Linked DNA regions of Arabidopsis thaliana. The main gene of each other region encodes a partner of the protein of the gene in region 4 in a complex. Each region holds a gene or a part of one and is shown on either strand. Other genes may lie near its edges.

Evidence for each region.
Region 1: NdhN (region 4) and PnsL4 share a complex: the UniProt entries of both Arabidopsis thaliana proteins name them as parts of the chloroplast NDH complex.
Region 2: NdhN (region 4) and Pnsl5 share a complex: the UniProt entries of both Arabidopsis thaliana proteins name them as parts of the chloroplast NDH complex.
Region 3: NdhN (region 4) and NdhT share a complex: the UniProt entries of both Arabidopsis thaliana proteins name them as parts of the chloroplast NDH complex.

The regions. Positions count from the first base shown.
Region 1 is NC_003075.7:18,426,193-18,430,156, forward strand, and holds PnsL4 (FK506-binding protein 16-2), read right to left. Parts: upstream 2,387-3,964; 5' UTR 2,134-2,386; coding exon 1,786-2,133; intron 1,700-1,785; coding exon 1,607-1,699; intron 1,428-1,606; coding exon 1,367-1,427; intron 1,291-1,366; coding exon 1,222-1,290; intron 1,140-1,221; coding exon 1,057-1,139; 3' UTR 565-1,056; downstream 1-564. Other genes in the region: AT4G39720 (VQ motif-containing protein), read right to left, coding at 2,988-3,004, 3,123-3,161, 3,838-3,964. UniProt on the Arabidopsis thaliana protein: NDH shuttles electrons from NAD(P)H:plastoquinone, via FMN and iron-sulfur (Fe-S) centers, to quinones in the photosynthetic chain and possibly in a chloroplast respiratory chain.
Region 2 is NC_003076.8:4,161,810-4,166,763, reverse strand, and holds Pnsl5 (cyclophilin 20-2), read left to right. Parts: upstream 1-1,840; 5' UTR 1,841-2,043; coding exon 2,044-2,067; intron 2,068-2,160; coding exon 2,161-2,373; intron 2,374-2,517; coding exon 2,518-2,760; intron 2,761-3,343; coding exon 3,344-3,398; intron 3,399-3,592; coding exon 3,593-3,678; intron 3,679-3,891; coding exon 3,892-4,050; 3' UTR 4,051-4,390; downstream 4,391-4,954. Other genes in the region: AT5G13130 (Histidine kinase-, DNA gyrase B-, and HSP90-like ATPase family protein), read right to left, coding at 1-9. UniProt on the Arabidopsis thaliana protein: NDH shuttles electrons from NAD(P)H:plastoquinone, via FMN and iron-sulfur (Fe-S) centers, to quinones in the photosynthetic chain and possibly in a chloroplast respiratory chain.
Region 3 is NC_003075.7:5,930,607-5,934,508, reverse strand, and holds NdhT (Chaperone DnaJ-domain superfamily protein), read left to right. Parts: upstream 1-2,033; 5' UTR 2,034-2,356; coding exon 2,357-2,682; intron 2,683-2,768; coding exon 2,769-3,192; 3' UTR 3,193-3,399; downstream 3,400-3,902. UniProt on the Arabidopsis thaliana protein: NDH shuttles electrons from NAD(P)H:plastoquinone, via FMN and iron-sulfur (Fe-S) centers, to quinones in the photosynthetic chain and possibly in a chloroplast respiratory chain.
Region 4 is NC_003076.8:23,560,065-23,563,939, reverse strand, and holds NdhN (oxidoreductases, acting on NADH or NADPH, quinone or similar compound as acceptor), read left to right. Parts: upstream 1-1,938; 5' UTR 1,939-2,010; coding exon 2,011-2,379; intron 2,380-2,461; coding exon 2,462-2,578; coding exon of another isoform or gene 2,579-2,584; exon of another isoform or gene 2,585-2,643; coding exon 2,644-2,729; intron 2,730-2,807; coding exon 2,808-2,865; 3' UTR 2,866-3,372; downstream 3,373-3,875. Other genes in the region: ABCB25 (ABC transporter of the mitochondrion 3), read right to left, coding at 1-82, 407-514, 661-763, 861-904, 985-1,046, 1,124-1,772; EMB3143 (YCF54), read right to left, coding at 3,568-3,760, 3,861-3,875. UniProt on the Arabidopsis thaliana protein: NDH shuttles electrons from NAD(P)H:plastoquinone, via FMN and iron-sulfur (Fe-S) centers, to quinones in the photosynthetic chain and possibly in a chloroplast respiratory chain.

The DNA.
Region 1 (3,964 bases), on a different chromosome or scaffold from region 4:
TTACTTAAAAATATTGAATGTCAATGTTACGAACTTACCTAAAGATACAAAAATAAAAATACAGAATTTCATATGATAAGATATGAACCATAACGTAATAATAATTAAAAAATCAAGGTAAAATAACTACACTAATATTAGGTAGCAAACAAATAAACTACAACATAAACAACTATTTAGTCATTATAGAGTGATGACCATTGACCATTAAAATTTTTAAAAATAAAAAATAATAAAAGTAAAATAAAAGTAGTAATTGATTTATTTAAATAAGTAATTTTATTTATATTTATATTTTGAAAAAATCATTTAAGAAATGAATTAATGGAGGATTTAACACAATATGAGATTTTTTATTTTCTCTCAATTAATTTTGCTAATTTTAATTTAATCAATATTAAATGACACATGATATTTTCTTATGTGATGATGTGTCACCCATATGGAGAGAGTTGGCCAACTTTCATATATATGATTTCTTTAAAAACCTCATTTATCTTAGAACCCTCCATTGAGGATGGCCTAACATCAGCCTTTAAGAACCTCCGGTACGCTGTAAATTAGCTCATGCACTGTGTTTTTCCTGGAAAATCGAAAAATGAAGATTTGTCTTATGTATTTTCAACATGCTCAAGTAGGCAAGAACCAAAGTTTTACACTTTTTTTGGCCTTAAGATTCATGAGTTGTTGTGAGGGGACCAATTACAGAGATATGACACCGATGAAAAACCACATCACACAACTTTATTCTAGACTCTGTACATCTTTGTGACACAAGCTGCATCACTTACCAAGACTGAATCTAACCTAACACGCGCTTATACATTTATGCAAGTATATGATTTTCCAAGGTCATAACTTAACAAAAAGACAGATCTGCACAGAGAAGATGTGTCTTGTTCTTTAATAGGAGGTTAGACATTGGATTCAGTTGGAAATCATCAATGTTTTAGGTTACAGAAATTATAATCTGAAGCTTGTCAAAAGTAATCACCTGGTGATATACATCACATACATAGTTGTTTGTTCCTTTACCAAACGGGATTGGAGTTGGCTTCATCTTGTATTACTTCCTGGGTAGATCTCAACAAAGTTGATATCATAGAGCAAAGTTGCATTGCCAGGTATGTTGCAGTCACCTGCATAAAGAGTCGATTTATTACTCGAGATACATATCTTACATATACAAGTGAAACTGTTACAGAGGAATTGTGCAAGTACCAGAAAAGCATCCTGCAGGCTCTGGTCCATAAGCTAACTTAGGTGGAATCTGAAGTTTACGCTTTCCGCCTGCAAAATAAAACCGCACCAATATGTTATCAGCCAAATAAAGGACATTGAACAAAGGAAAATACAGTACACTTGCCTACTCGCATAGGAGGTACTCCTTCGCCTCCAAGAATCCCCTGGTCTAGTCCCCTAATTACCTGATCATTTTTGGACATCAAGAGTTTAGATATATAGTTGTTTTGCTCACCCTAATCACAAAGAAGAACATAAGAAACTAACTAACTTCAACAAAGACAAGTGTGAACTTTGCTAGCAATGCAATTGAAGACTATGGAAGCTAACAAAGAGAGAGAGAGACAATGGTTCTTTGTTGTACCTTGCCGACTCCAATTCGCATAGTAAGTGGTCTTGCACGCTTATAGCTACTGTCAAACAACGTTCCATCTGCAAACCTCGCCGTGTAATGGATCTGTGTGTGTGTGACCAACTCTCCAAAGTCTCAAACTTTGAATCAAAAACCCTAAACAGAGGAAATTAGAGAGATGGAGAGATTACATTGACGAGTACGCCACGAGGGGCTTCATCACCAAATCCAACATCGAGATCGCAAAATCCAAGTCCTGATTTTGCGTAGCTGTATTCGCAGAGAGGATCTCCTACAGTGGCGTAGTAGTCAATCCTCGTGGCGTCTGCGTCCAGAGGCGTTAGAGAGAGAATCGAAGAAGCTAGGAACCCTAAACCCACTCCGAAAACGCGTTTCTTGACGGAGAGTTTCGGCTCGCAATCGGAGGAAGAAGAACAGAGACACGAAAAGGACGAGGAAGAAGAAGAAGAAAAGAAGATGGTTGGTCTGAAGGAACGTGTATAGAGAGATTGTGTGAGTGTTAAAGTAGAAATCGCCATTCTTCTTTGAGTCTTCGTTTCGATCTCTGCTTCCTTATCTGCGTGAAGCCAGAGCCTTTGGTCTGAATCTTTTGTCTTTTGAGTGTGCAACGGTACAATGGATATGATTATGGGACCCACCCGTATTTTTTTGGATTTCTATTTTCAACAGAACAAAAATAATAATGAAACTTTTGGAGCCAATCGGCCCACAAAATTGAGAACCCGAATCGAATTATTTGGATAGTAAGATAATGGCCAGACCTAGTTATCACTCAACTATGAAACCGAGTATCATCTGAATACATAGAAAACCCATCAGTGCGACAATAGCTTGATATCATGGTCCACCATAACCACCACCATAATATTAAACCATCATCATCACCCATTATTATATATTCCATTTAGATAGAGATACACATATATGCACATTGTTGATAGTTTATGTAAGTGATGTGTATAGGTTATACAGTGCATTGGTGACTTAAGTGTAACTGGTCCGTGGACAAAAAAATATCAAAATCATTTGAACTTTTGTATACACAAGAACAAGCAAAAGATTTTTCATCAAATGTCATTATTTGTTTTGCGACCATCAATCCATCATCAAATCTTATTGTGAAAAACAAGAATTATTATTTTTAAGAGTTACTATTATACTATACAGTAGCAAATGATATTATTGAAAACCCCGCTTACAAAGAACTGACATTTCATTCTGAAGTGTTGTTAAGCTAGAGACTAGAAAGAGATATAAATTAAGCTGAATATTCTAACGATTGATTGGTTAATGAGAAGACTGAAAAAAGTTAGGAATTTTGTAGACGCATCACATTCAGAGCCGTGACAAGGTCAATGGTTGTCGGAGGCGGTCAAATGAAATTTGCCCCTATTCACAAACAAAGAGACTTATAATAATAGAAGTAAAAGTGTCTATAAAGATAAATTGTCATATGACAAAAGTAGGTCAAAACCAAAATGTATGTATAATTATCATTATTGATTACCTGTTTTTCTTTTGCTTGGGAAATTTTCAAATTTCAAATCTGTTGGTATGGTAAAATGAGAGTCAAGTCAATAAAAATTGACGTTAATGTAGATGATACACCAAAAATGAATAAGCACATGGGAGAACAGTAATTTATCAAATTTCAAATCACCACAAGTCTATAATTAATTAATAATTATATACTATGGTCCCAAAACCATATTCCACAATCCGGCGGCCGTGGAAGATTCCCCAAATTTCGCCACCATTCACTCCAATATTAATTAGGAGAAATATTAACCGTAGTGATCCCAAAACCACGTACTGTATATTGATTGTTGAAAAATTAAAATTTCATATCGCAAGTCATCGTTGTCATTAAAATTTAAAAGTTCTATATAATTATAAGAAAATATACCAAGAAAATCTGATTCAAATGGTGAGATCCATCTACTAACTAATACTTACCAACATATAGTTATGGAAAAAACTAAGATTAACAAATAACAAGCATATTAATTAAGTATTAAATAATTAACAAACCCTACACGAAAAAAGTTTTAAAGTGGTTTATACTGAAATATAGAATATATAAACGAGTAACTTCATCATGCTATATGTGCTATGTTTAATTTGTTGAGTAATCATGTCAAGAGATTAGCTTTGATTTCGGACTTGGACTATACATAAATATATTTATGTTCTCTGGTCGGAAGACGAAGATAACCAAGTACCGTCATTATTATGTTCATGATCGGAGCCACCGTAGCTTCCATTATCACCGGTGTTTATGTTCCCGTTAGCCGCTGCCGTTGTAGTAGGAGGATTAGTAGATGGAGTCTGCATCATACCAAGACCAAA
Region 2 (4,954 bases), about 19 Mb from region 4:
TTCGGCCATGTCTCCGATCACTAACAGTGGTTTATTGGACTTGATTTGAGAAGAATCCGTGGTTGCAGTAGAAGCTTCTAGGGTTTTGAAGCAGCTTGAAGTGGGAGAGAGGAGAGAGAGACGTGAGACACGCACGACACACAGACTCTTCAAGTAGTGGGAGCGTCTTTATAGAAAAGTGAGTGGCGCGACTTACAAATAAAACCGTCCAGCTTCCCGGCCCCAATTTCGTAACTCACAGGCCCATCTGTGTTATTAGAGCAACCCTAATGGTTAAACTTTTAATAGGTTTTTTCCAATTTTTTTAATTTTAAAATTTGAGATTTGAATTTAAGAGATTTTGTTGGTCTCTTAATTTTTCTTGGTTTAATGGTAGAAATTTTTAGTGAGTTTCTTATAGTAAAAAATATTATTAAAATGAAAATTATAAATATTCTATTTTATAAAATTTAATAATTAATACAAATACTAAAATTTTAAACCTACAAGAAATGAATATTGAGAATCGGAATAACAATTAGTAGTTAGTTTGATTCCCACCAAATTTGTGTTATATATGCTCAACCAAATCACCTTTCAATTGTTGATGCATAGCCCGATCACGAACTCGAGCACGAGAGACCATAAAATTACCGAGATTTGAAGACATATCTGTAGAGTAGTTAAAATAACTTGTGAAGAGATGGTTGATTCTGGTAGTATGAATTTAGATGCACCAAACGATTTTTTTCAATTTAGTCTTTGATTTGATTATTACGCCCTATGATGAGGAGCTCGACACATATCATCTTTCATCAACATTGACATCGCCATCGTAAATGGAAATAACGAAATGAAAACAATTCAACCGAAATGAAAAGAAAAAAATTGGGTCATATTTTTCCTTCTCTTCCCTCTCCACCAATAGAAGTTTGCCATGTAGGGTCCCTTTGTTGTTTGAAAAATACCGTAAGAGAGAAACAACCCTCTCAATTAAACTGATTTCTAATTTATTTTGGGCTATATAATTCAAGGGACCAACCCTCAAAAGCCCCTTAGAGGCTGCCGTTGGAGTTGGTCTCAGATACAAGGTTTAATTAGTTTTAACTTGCTCTAAAGCCTCTCTACTATAACTTTATTACATTTTGTTTAGTAACAAATGACATTCCCTCTTTTTCTCCCTTTTTGAAATAAATATTCTTTAGATTTACACAATTTTGTTGTTTTTTAGAACTGTTCATCGAAAAATTTCGTCATATTGTCACTAAACTTTTGTAACTTCTAAGAAATTTCCAATATGTTTTCAAAATTTTACCATATAAATACTAATTTTAAGAGAAAATTTGTATCAATAATATGGATTAAAACATGAAGTTAGATTTTTTTTAAAAAGCTTAAAGCCCAATTTTTTTAAAAAAATTGCAAATAATCAGTCTTGAGAATTGAGCATGTTACCAATTCATGTTATACGGAATTAACACTGAACTATATTTCGTTTAACCGTTAAATTATACATGGTACAAAAAAATTGATGTCGTTTACTACTATATAAATATTGTTGATGCCTTTTACTTGCTTGAGCCCAAGATCAACTCTACCTTCTATTTCCGTAATGAATGACAACATATAATCTTATAACTGTATTAATTTATAATTTTTTTATATGACTCGGTTAATTTCCGCGCGATGCATATTTTGTTTTGAAAAAATATTTTTGATTTGTATTTATGGTTTTATTTTCTTATATTAAATAAATATCAGAAATAGTGAACACACTATTTTCTTATAGTAGGTTTGTATTTTAGTTTATGAGATTAGTGTCATTTTGATACGATGAGTTTTTCTTTGTTTGCACTTTGCACAGGTAAATATGCTTCATAGGATCGGCTGACCTGACCCACTCAAAATTGACTCGATGCGAAGCCACGTAACCGGCAGGGGCATAACTGTAAATAACCATGGAATGTATTTCTCAGACTCTTTCGTGCTATCACTCGCTCATCGTCACCTTCACCTTCACCTACCATTTTTGCCAACAAACGCGAGCAAGAGTTTTGAGCTCCAATGGCGACCTTGTCGATGACTCTGGTGCGTTTAATTTTTCCCTTTTGTACTTTTGATTTTGTTTTACCTTTCCGCTTCTTCTGCTTCTCCTGCTCTAATTTTCGGTTATCATCATAGTCAAATCCGAAGTCGCTCTCAGCTCCTCCACGAAGACTTTCTCCGATCAATACCTCCGCTTTCACATCTACCTCTTTCCGATTGCGCACCAAATCTTCCTTCGATTCAATCTCGTTCTCGTCTTCAACTCCCTTCTCCGCCTCATCGCTCCTCCTTCACACGTCTTATACCAAAAGAAACCACCGCTGTTTCTCTGTTCAATCCAATGCTGAGGTTAGGGATTCTCTCATATCTTGTTAGTCACTGATGTCATTTGATGGAATTGGTTGTTTTATTCAGCTTACTCTTAGTTTTTTTTTTCCATTAGATTTACTAAAAGCTATGGAATCATAATATGATGTGGATTTTGTATTCCAGGTGGTTACTGAACCGCAATCGAAAATAACACACAAGGTGTATTTCGATATAAGTGTTGGCAATCCAGTGGGGAAGTTAGCTGGGAGGATTGTTATTGGATTGTATGGTGATGATGTTCCCCAAACTGTGGAGAACTTTCGTGCTCTATGCACAGGTGAAAAGGGATTTGGCTACAAGGGTTCTACATTCCATCGTGTCATCAGAGATTTCATGATTCAGGGAGGAGACTTTGAGAAGGGCAATGTGAGTTTTTCTGGCTGAATTCCTTGGCAGCACCAGTTTCTTGTTAGCTGACTTGCGGTCCATATTATGTTTCTTTTGATTTACTTTGGTTCATCTTATTTTCTGCCAAATCACAAAGTAAAGTAAGCTGTCTCATATCAGGATGGCAGGATGTTTATTAATTTCTTGGATGTGGTACATAGTATAAGTCAAATCTTTCTCGATAAGGAAGGATGCTTAAGTTCTTACTTGTACGGATTTAGAGTCGCTCTTGAAAGCACATGTTTGGGTACATTAATAGGAAAAAGCCTGACCTTTGGAGAGCTTTCTACAGACAATCTTTCTGATAGCTGGCTCTCTGATTTGTAGATCAGTGGCTTTAGAAGAACAACCCCTGTTAATCTTAGACTTTTGTTCTTTTCTATATAGATAATACCTGGGCTGTAGGGAACTTATATACTGGTTCGTGGGTATGCAACTAGCTGTAGCTCGGTAGAAATATATTGTTATTTTCTGTTTCTGCCCATCTCAGTTACCGAAGATTCTTCTAGTAACTGCTAGGAGAATTCCATAATAATGATACAGAAGTCTAATTGTTGAGCAGGGAACTGGAGGTAAAAGTGTATATGGCCGTACATTCAAGGATGAGAATTTCAAGTGTAAGTCTATCCTTTTTCACTTGTTTCCTTCTTCTTCATTCTCCCCAGCTGTGCTTTAGCATTCATATTTATCAGTGGTAATGCATTTTAACTAAACATTTCTGCATTCTCTTTTTAGCTGAGCTGAGTATAATATATACCAAACCTTCAGTTTTATAAAATTCATGAAAGTAATAATGTGCTATACGCTGCAGTATCCCATGTCGGACCAGGAGTTCTAAGTATGGCAAATGCTGGCCCTAATACAAATGGAAGTCAGTTCTTTATCTGCACTATTAAGGTAAAATCTCCCTCTGGTTAAGGCCTATTGTTAAATTAGAAGTTATACGTAGGCAAGCGAGCATCAACAATAAAGAACACAGGTATTACAGTATATAGAATCCAATAATATAACCTAAAGAGTAGAGTTTTGAAATTGGAAACGAAGAACCATCCAAGCTTTGTTGGGAAATTTAGTGTATATCAAATTAATATGCGATAACGATGTGGACAGACGTCATGGTTGGACGGAAGACATGTGGTGTTCGGGCAAGTAATAGAAGGAATGGAAGTGGTGAAGCTGATAGAGGAACAAGAGACAGACAGAGGAGACCGTCCCAGAAAGAAAGTGGTGATAGCAGACTGTGGTCAACTTCCAATGTCTGAAGCTTAAAAGTAAGATCATTTAACCAAAATCTTGTAGACATGAGATGGAGCTTGTTTTTGCATTTTACAACCCTTTCTTTTGTGTAATGGATTTGTATCCCCTTCTTCCAAAAATTTAAGAAAGAAATAGTATTCCGCTGCCGGGTGTTGAACTCATATTTCATTTCATTGGTTTGTTTCGAAATTAACCATTGTGTTATAGCGGTTCAGTTGCATTACTAAGATACAAAATCTGAAGATTCAAGAGTAGTCGATGCAGTTGTGAAATTGGTCTGTGTAATACAGCGGATTTGTTGGTTTGGTATACGAGCAATTTGTATTTAAAGTCCGATCTCTTCATAAAAAAGTAAGAACAACAATTGAAACAAAAAATATTCCGCTGCCCGGATTTGATCCCGGATTTCATTTTGAGTAGTGAAATTGGCCTGTGTGCTACAGCGGACTTGTTTGATTTATATACGAGGGATTTGTTTTTAAAGTCTGATATCTTATTGAAAACAATACTAATTAAAATAATAAGTATTCCGCTGCCGGGGTTTGATCCCGGATTTCATATTGAGTAGTGAAATTGGCCTGTGTGCTACAGCGGACTTTTTGGTTTTGTATATGAGTGATTTGTATTTAAAGTCTGATATCTTATTGAAAACTAACTAATTGAACCAAAAAGTATTACGCTGCCGAGGTTTGAGCCCGGATTTCAAATTCTGTTGTGAAATTGGCATGTGTGCTACAGCGGACTTGTTGAACATGTATCCGATCAATTTGTATATAAAGTCTGCTTTCAGATTAATGAACAATATAATTACTTGTACCTATCACATGTTTGTATTTTAGTGTTCTTTCTTTTTGGTCAACCTTTTCTAGATACAAGATATCTCTGAATACTAGAAGAGCACACCATAAAAAGAAGA
Region 3 (3,902 bases), on a different chromosome or scaffold from region 4:
TTAGGAGACATGATTACCTGATAGCGGGGGACAACGTAATATATAATGCGTTAGGAGACATGATTACCTATTAGCGGAGAACAATTGGAGCAAGACTTTTGTTTTAGTCTTCAGATCTTGTCCTCGAATAGAAATTCTCTTTTGCATCTACGTTTTGTCCTCGATTTCACCATCTTGCTCTATTATTATGAATCCTACATCTTATATGCAATTGTTCTCATTTAATAATTTTGAATTTTATTTAAATTTTTGCGATCTATTTTGATCCACAGATTAGTTGAGCGTTATTGTCTTCACCTACACGTTAACATATTTTAATAATATGTTATATCGGGACAAGTTCATATCGAATGAGTAATAGAATTGGATCGGGGACAAAGTCAGATCGAATGATAGACAAGATAATATGTAATAACTGAATATTTTTGTTGTTTTACAATAGAAGAAAAAAAAATCGTGTCGGTGAAAACAATAATGCTCAACTAATCTGTGGACCAAAATAGATGGTAAAAAATGATGAAATCAAGGACAAGATCTAGATACAACAGAAATATTGTGATGAATAAAATTGAGAGACAAATTTAATTGAAAGTTACATGTAAAGAATCTGTGCAGGTTGTCAAAGAAAGTGAGAGAGTGACAAAAGCGCTTCATCTTCGGGAAGATAATAATATATGGTTAAAGCGCACAGATTTCAAGGAAGGAGAGATAAAATAGAGAAGAAATGGAGAGGGACAAAATCGATATTTCAGTATGAAATATGACATGAGTTGTAAGGCCCAGCAAATTATGGCAGATTGCATAAGGATTGGAAAAAATATGGCATATGTTGTAATTTTTTCCTTTTTAAAAATAATCTAAATAATTCTATAATCAATATGTGAACGATATTATACTTTACAGATCTTTTTGTAACTTCACCTTAATTATGATAGACCTTGCAAACAAATAAATGCAACAAAAAATAGACACTAAAAAATCTCAACAACAATCTTTAAATTATAAAAAATCACATAAATATCTTCGGGATTCAAATTTTAATAATTATTTAAACGGATTTTCTAATTTATATCAAAACCAAATATATTGAATATAAAATATACAAATAGGAAATACATTAATTTAAAAGATACAAAATATTTAACAAGAAATTGTGTTATTTTTTGTTCAAAGAATTCGATATAAAATCTTCGAAACGATCCGATATTGATTCTTATTAGATTGAAATTGTTAAAATTTCAATATATTATACAATTTTTCTTTTTAAATTGAAATTGTAAACCGACTCGAAGTATATTAAATAAAAATATTATTAAAAAGAAAAAGAACAATTTGATTTTTAGTTATCACGGGACGGATTTATATGGCGGGACGGGTTTACAGGAGACGAGTTTACATGGTAGGACGGGTTTGGATGAGACGAGATTATATGGTGCTATGAGTTTAGATGGGAAAAATTTGGATACCACGGGTGTACTCCTAGAATTAACAATCAAATTACAACTATACAATAGTAAACAAAACAAACAATAATAACATAACAAATACAATTTTAATTTCAAATTTTTAGTTACAAAAAAATAAATAAAATCAACATTTTAGTATAAGTGTTAATCTTCTTTGACACCTCTAAATGTTATTCTTCTTTGATACATTTAAATGTGTAATTTTAATATAAAGTTACTAAACTACATATGTTCCATGGATTAAATTTGAAAACACCAAAAGTTTATATTAAATAATTTTTTTATAACAAATTATGAATAAAATAAAATATTATCCCGTGGTATGGTCTATCACAAGTCAAATCCTAAAAGATAAAATAACATATATTAGACTTATTAATATCATAATTGTGACTCAATAAAAAACATACACAACCTTATCGATAATTATTAATCATCACAAACAACAACAAACAACAAATTATATTTTGTGATAAAGAAAAATAAATAAATAAATTTAATTTACGGTATATCGCGGGTCATATCCTAATTATGATACAATTGTCTATTTTTACCCTATATATATTACAAACGCACACATTTGTTGCATAACATATTTAGACATCGCTTCCAAAGAAAGAAATCATTTATCTCTACATTATTTCTTCCTCTCATTGCCCCTCTCTTCTCAACGTTTTGTCTCTTATATCTTTACGTTTCATACTTTTTTTTTGTTGACATTTAATTATTTAAATTTTTTGTTCCTATGGACACTAGATAGGACAACAAAAGATATAAAGAAAATCTACACCACACATATCATGAGGTTCTGGAACAAGTTTCTGCGGTAAGAGAAACCAAAAACATGAAGGGCAGAAAAAAAAAGAACAAACCATCTTCAACACAGAGCCATGGCTTATGCAACTTCTACCTATGCACGAACCTCATGCATTATCCTACCCAAAATCCAAAACGGCGCGCATTTCACGGATGACACGAAAGCATTTAGAAGGATAACAGCAAGAAGAGTGACGCGTATATACGCGTCACAAGGCCCGACTAAACCGTCAAAACCATCTCCAGGAGTAGACACAAGAATCCACTGGGAAAGCCCGGACGAAGGCTGGATCGGAGGAAGATCCGACCCGGCCAAATCGGTTGATGAGGACAAAACCAATCTCCTTAGTGACGAAAAATTTGCAGAACTAATCAAAGACTCTTTTGATTCTCATTACCAGTGAGCAAAACAAACATTCTCATTACATATCTTTTTATTTTTATTTTTCAATATGTATTGTAACATGTAACAATAATCATTTTCAGATTCTTAGGTGTTTCAACGGATGCTGATCTAGAAGAGATAAAATCTGCGTACCGGAGATTATCTAAAGAGTATCATCCAGATACAACTTCACTACCACTTAAAACAGCTTCAGAAAAGTTCATGAAATTAAGAGAAGTGTACAATGTTTTGAGCGATGAAGAGACTCGGAGGTTTTATGACTGGACACTGGCTCAAGAAGTTGCGAGTCGTCAAGCTGAGAAAATGAGAATGAAGCTAGAGGATCCGAAAGAGCAAGATTTTAGGGGCTATGAATCAATACCTGATATGGTTGACCGGTTAGGTGGAAGAAACATGGAGCTTAGTGATCAAGCAATGACTGCTCTCACGTTCGATATTTTGATCGTATTATTCGCTGTTTGTTGTATAGCTTTTGTGATTGTTTTCAAAGATCCTTCTTACTAGGTAAGGAGCTTTGTATATACTTGGAAAATTCATATAGTTTATATGTAGATGGAAGATTAACAATTACAGATTATAAGATCATTTGAACTAAAATAAAGTGGTCTAGTGGTTCTGTTCCTCACCTTTTTTGTGTGTGTGTTATTTTTGGATTTTTTCTAAGCTATCCAAACATTGTTTTAGAGCTATATTTTGTTATGCTTACCTAGCTAATCCAAATAGTCTCATTTATATAAAACAAAGCGAACAAAATAGTAGTTTTGATAACTAATGCGGAATTCACTAGTTTGGGAAGTATAGTAGGAATAAAAACTAGGGAGATTTGCAAAACTACCCTTTTTTCACTACCTTTTGCAACAATACCCTTTTATCAAGTCTTATATATATGTAGCACCTGACTCAATCCTCCTTAGACGTGTTCCTTAGAACTGTTCGATGCACATTTTGACTACGTTTTTTTTTCTTTTTTTCCTAAGATGTAAATATTTCACTAAAAATGAAAACAGTTTAAGAGTATAATCAAAAGACTATAAATGGTCCCATGACAAAAGAAAAACATGAAGCATAATTTATCAAGCAAACTTCAGTCCATCCGCATAACAAACGCACATAAGCTAATAGAACTAGATGAAGTGATAAAGGATTTTGTTGTTCTTTCAGACTAGTTTGAGTAAATGAAGGGTGATAGCACGTGAAGAAGCCAAAATTGTCTG
Region 4 (3,875 bases):
CATAATTTATCAGAGAATCAATGGCCCTTGTGCTAGCATCATTATCAGCTTTGTTCATAGCCTTTCTAAACTTGGTTCGCCACTGGATAAAATAAATAAAACCGTGAGCAAAGCGTTTGACACCAAAAAGATTTGTAACAAGATAATGAAAGTTGAAGAGAATGTATGAAGACAACTATCCTTCTATACATCATCAAACCTAATATCACAACTAGAATGATTTAAGCCGATCCAAAGAGTTGATACAGTTAAGATTAGAGAAGCTTAGTAACGAATTCCAGAACAATGTATACTATAGTAGTTTCTTAAATAAAATATCACAGTTATTGCTGGATTATCATGATAATAACGCAAGTATTGCATTATAGTTGGCATTGAAAAGAGAATACCGAAAAAGGCACAGTACCTGTGTCACAGCTAATGTGAAAACGATATATGATCCAACGGAGAGAGAAGTAATCCAGGCAAAAGCAGCTCCAAACTTGTATGCCAGTATACCTGATACCATAGATATCTGAAAGATACATATTAATTACGTCGAGTGTTTTTAGAGACGAATGAATAGTGAAATCCAAATATGAATGAGCAACTGCCAATTATTCAAAATGAGAAAAAAAACAATGATCATGAGAAAGCACCAAGTGGTCAGACAAGCTTTACCTCCAATATGGTAGGAACAACATTGAAAACCATAGCTGAGAGGATAAAATTTATTGCACGGCTACCACGATCAATAATCCTGTTCAAGCCGCCTGTTTCTCGACTGGACATAAGCAATTAAGTAAGGAAGTTATGATGAGATGAATCTAAGATGGAATGAGCGAGACTACTCACAAGAGTAAGAGAGGAGAGATAGATACCTTAGGTGGTAACGAAGGTCAAGATCATGTAAATGTGAGAACACCTGCAAAGCGACCATATGAAATTGATTCATACATTAAAATATCTCTATCGACAAGATAGTTTAGAGCAGCAGCAGCATACCTTTCTAGAAACAGATCGTATTGTTCGGAGAGCTACCTTAGAGAACACAGCAGTACGAAGTTCTGCGATGATGAAAAGTAACAACCAAGAGTGAAAAGTGCATTCTTTTTTAAAGAAAACTAGAGCTATTGAGAGTTACCATTAAAAGCAGAAGAACCCGTCCGAGCAATCCCGTATCCAATGAGAACAGCAGCAGGAGTAGCAAAAACAGTAAGAAGAGTTGGGTTTGTAGCAGCGAAGGTGGTAAGTGAGGCTCCAGTACCGGTAGCTGAAGCAAGCCAATCAACAGCTAATTTGAAGAGGAAAGGGACTTGGACATTCAAGACCTTAGCACCCACGAGAAAACCCAAAGCAGCGATGACCCTGAAACGGAATTCTGGATTGTCTCTCATCCACAAATAGCCAGCAAGCGTACGGAGAATCTTCATGTCAGCCATAGCTGAGTCTGAATCCGACGAGGTTGTCTTGATTTCCTTAGTCTTGGTGGTGGTTTGGTCTGGATTGGGAGTAGAAGTCGAGAAGAGACGACCATTAAGCATTGAACTCCGTTGAACAAAACGAATTGGGGATGGTGATGGTGACGGGGATGGTGAGTTATCTGAGAGGAAGGCATTGATAACCGGAGATGTTCGAATTGAGTTACGTCTGATGTAATTGGAGAAACCATTATGAAGACGATAATCAGAGCGAAGACTGTAGGAAAAAGATGGGATTTTGGGTTGAGGTTGAAGATTAACGCGACAGAGTAAGAGCCCAGGAGCCCTAACGAATCGAGATCCTCTCGACATCCCTTCTTCTCCGAAAGTTTCACAGACTGAATTTTGCTCCGGCGAGCTAGCTAACAATGTCACGACGTTCGGCGGTGCTTAATGGGCCTAATAAATAAAGCCCAATACATTTTAAGCCCATTAATGTCTATCCCTTTGTGGAGTGAGTCGTCGTTTCTCCACCATTCTTTCATCATCATCGTCGTCAAGCAATGTTTATTATGAGCTACTTCCACAAGAAGTCATTGTTAGTAAAGAAATGGGAAGCCGTGCAATATGTATACAACGTGTGGCACCACCGTGTTTTGAAGCCTCGCAAGTGAAGAAGATCAAAACAGTTGGTTCCTTTTTGGTGAATACTAGGAGTAAGAGAAGAAGAAGCACTGGTGTGAAATGTAGCAGCATAGCTGACTACATCGGAGGTGACTTGGTGAAGCCGGACATCGGACAATGGCTTCAAGACGTGGAAGAACACAAGGCAATCGCCATTTACGCTCCTCATGAGGGTGGTTACGAAGGTCGTTATCTTAACCGTCTCAAAATGCAGGGCTACTACTTTCTTGACATCTCTGCTCGTGGCCTTGGTGACCCTGAGACTACCCTTCTCAAGAACTACCCTGTTTGCCCTGTATGTCTACTTTCATCCATCTTCTACTTTAATCTTGTTTCAATATAATTTTGTGTGAACCATGTATCTTCTCTTCTTTTAGGCTCATCTTGGGAAACAACCTATAGCAAGATGGTATTATCCACCAGAAGTTGATTACAGGCTCGCTGCTCTTCCCCCTAGTGCCAAGGGTCTTGTTGTATGGGTCCTCGAAGCAAAGGTTTGAGTTTCTCTCATTTGATCTGTTCTCCCACATGCTCTTTCTCATATTTCCATTTCACTCAGGTCCTCTCAAAATCGGAGCTTCAATTTCTCGCTTTACTTCCCTCTCTTCGTCCTAACGTCAGGGTTATTGCTGAATGTGGCAACTGGTGAGTATATCATTCCTTACCATACACACTAATCATCTATGTTTGCAATTTGCATGACCATTACCAATTCCCCTGCAGGAGAAAGTTCGTGTGGAAGCCTCTAGCAGAAATTGCAAATCTAGCTGCACAAGAGTAACTTAATGGCACAAGTGGAGCTACCAGTGTATAGTTTTTCATGAATGCATCTCCCGCAAGTGTAGCAATACTCATCCCATAGTAAAAGTTAAAATCTGTATTTGTAACTTGGTAGTATATTCCCATGGAGTAGTTAAAGATAATTTCTGACTCTGCTTTGTCACAAATAAAAGTATGTATAATCAGTAAGATTGATAGGACACGCTTAGATACAGACTACAGAGCAATCCAGAAGTACAACATAGAACACTTGATTCAGCAGAAACATGTGCAACTTACTTTGATCAACTCCAGTCACTAGACCTAACGAGTAACAACATGTTCCGAGTCCACAAATCGTTTTGAAAACCAAAAAATTCAGATCTTTTGCAAAGTTCTTCAGCGAGTAGGCATATTGCCCTCCTGTGACTAGACAACTTAATACCTAGAGCTTTAACTGAAGGTTCTTGCCAATATTCTCGTGAGAAATCAACAAATATGGTCACCCTTAAGACTTTGATGGAGCTAAATGTGAGGATGCTTTTTGTTGTCTAGTTCTATGCTTAACCTTGAGTCAGTGACGTATCAAACAGGCAACTTTGAGTAATAGAAGCTACACTAGGAAAGATATAGACTTGGATAATGAGCTCAGTAGTACAAAACTTTGAAGCACTAAGACAAAGCTGAGATTGGAGAATGCAAAAACAAGACAAAAAGCAAAGTTCTATACTGCAGATTCTTGGGTTACTTTAGGCAAGAAGGTATCCCACCATCCAGGTTCATACTTGGGGTATGGCGCCACCCAATTTTTAGGCTTATCGAACTCAAGAGTGGTAGGATTGGAGGCCAAAGCTTCATCAAGAGAGGTAGCTTCAAAGGAATCATACAGAACACGATCCAATCTTAACTTCATAAACCTGCCATAAAACAACAAATTGCAAAACACAAATGCGTTAGATAAGGAGGGAGTGAGGAACGTAATTTTGAAAAGAGAGAGATTGGGATTAGGGTTCTAACGTGATCCAGGTGCCA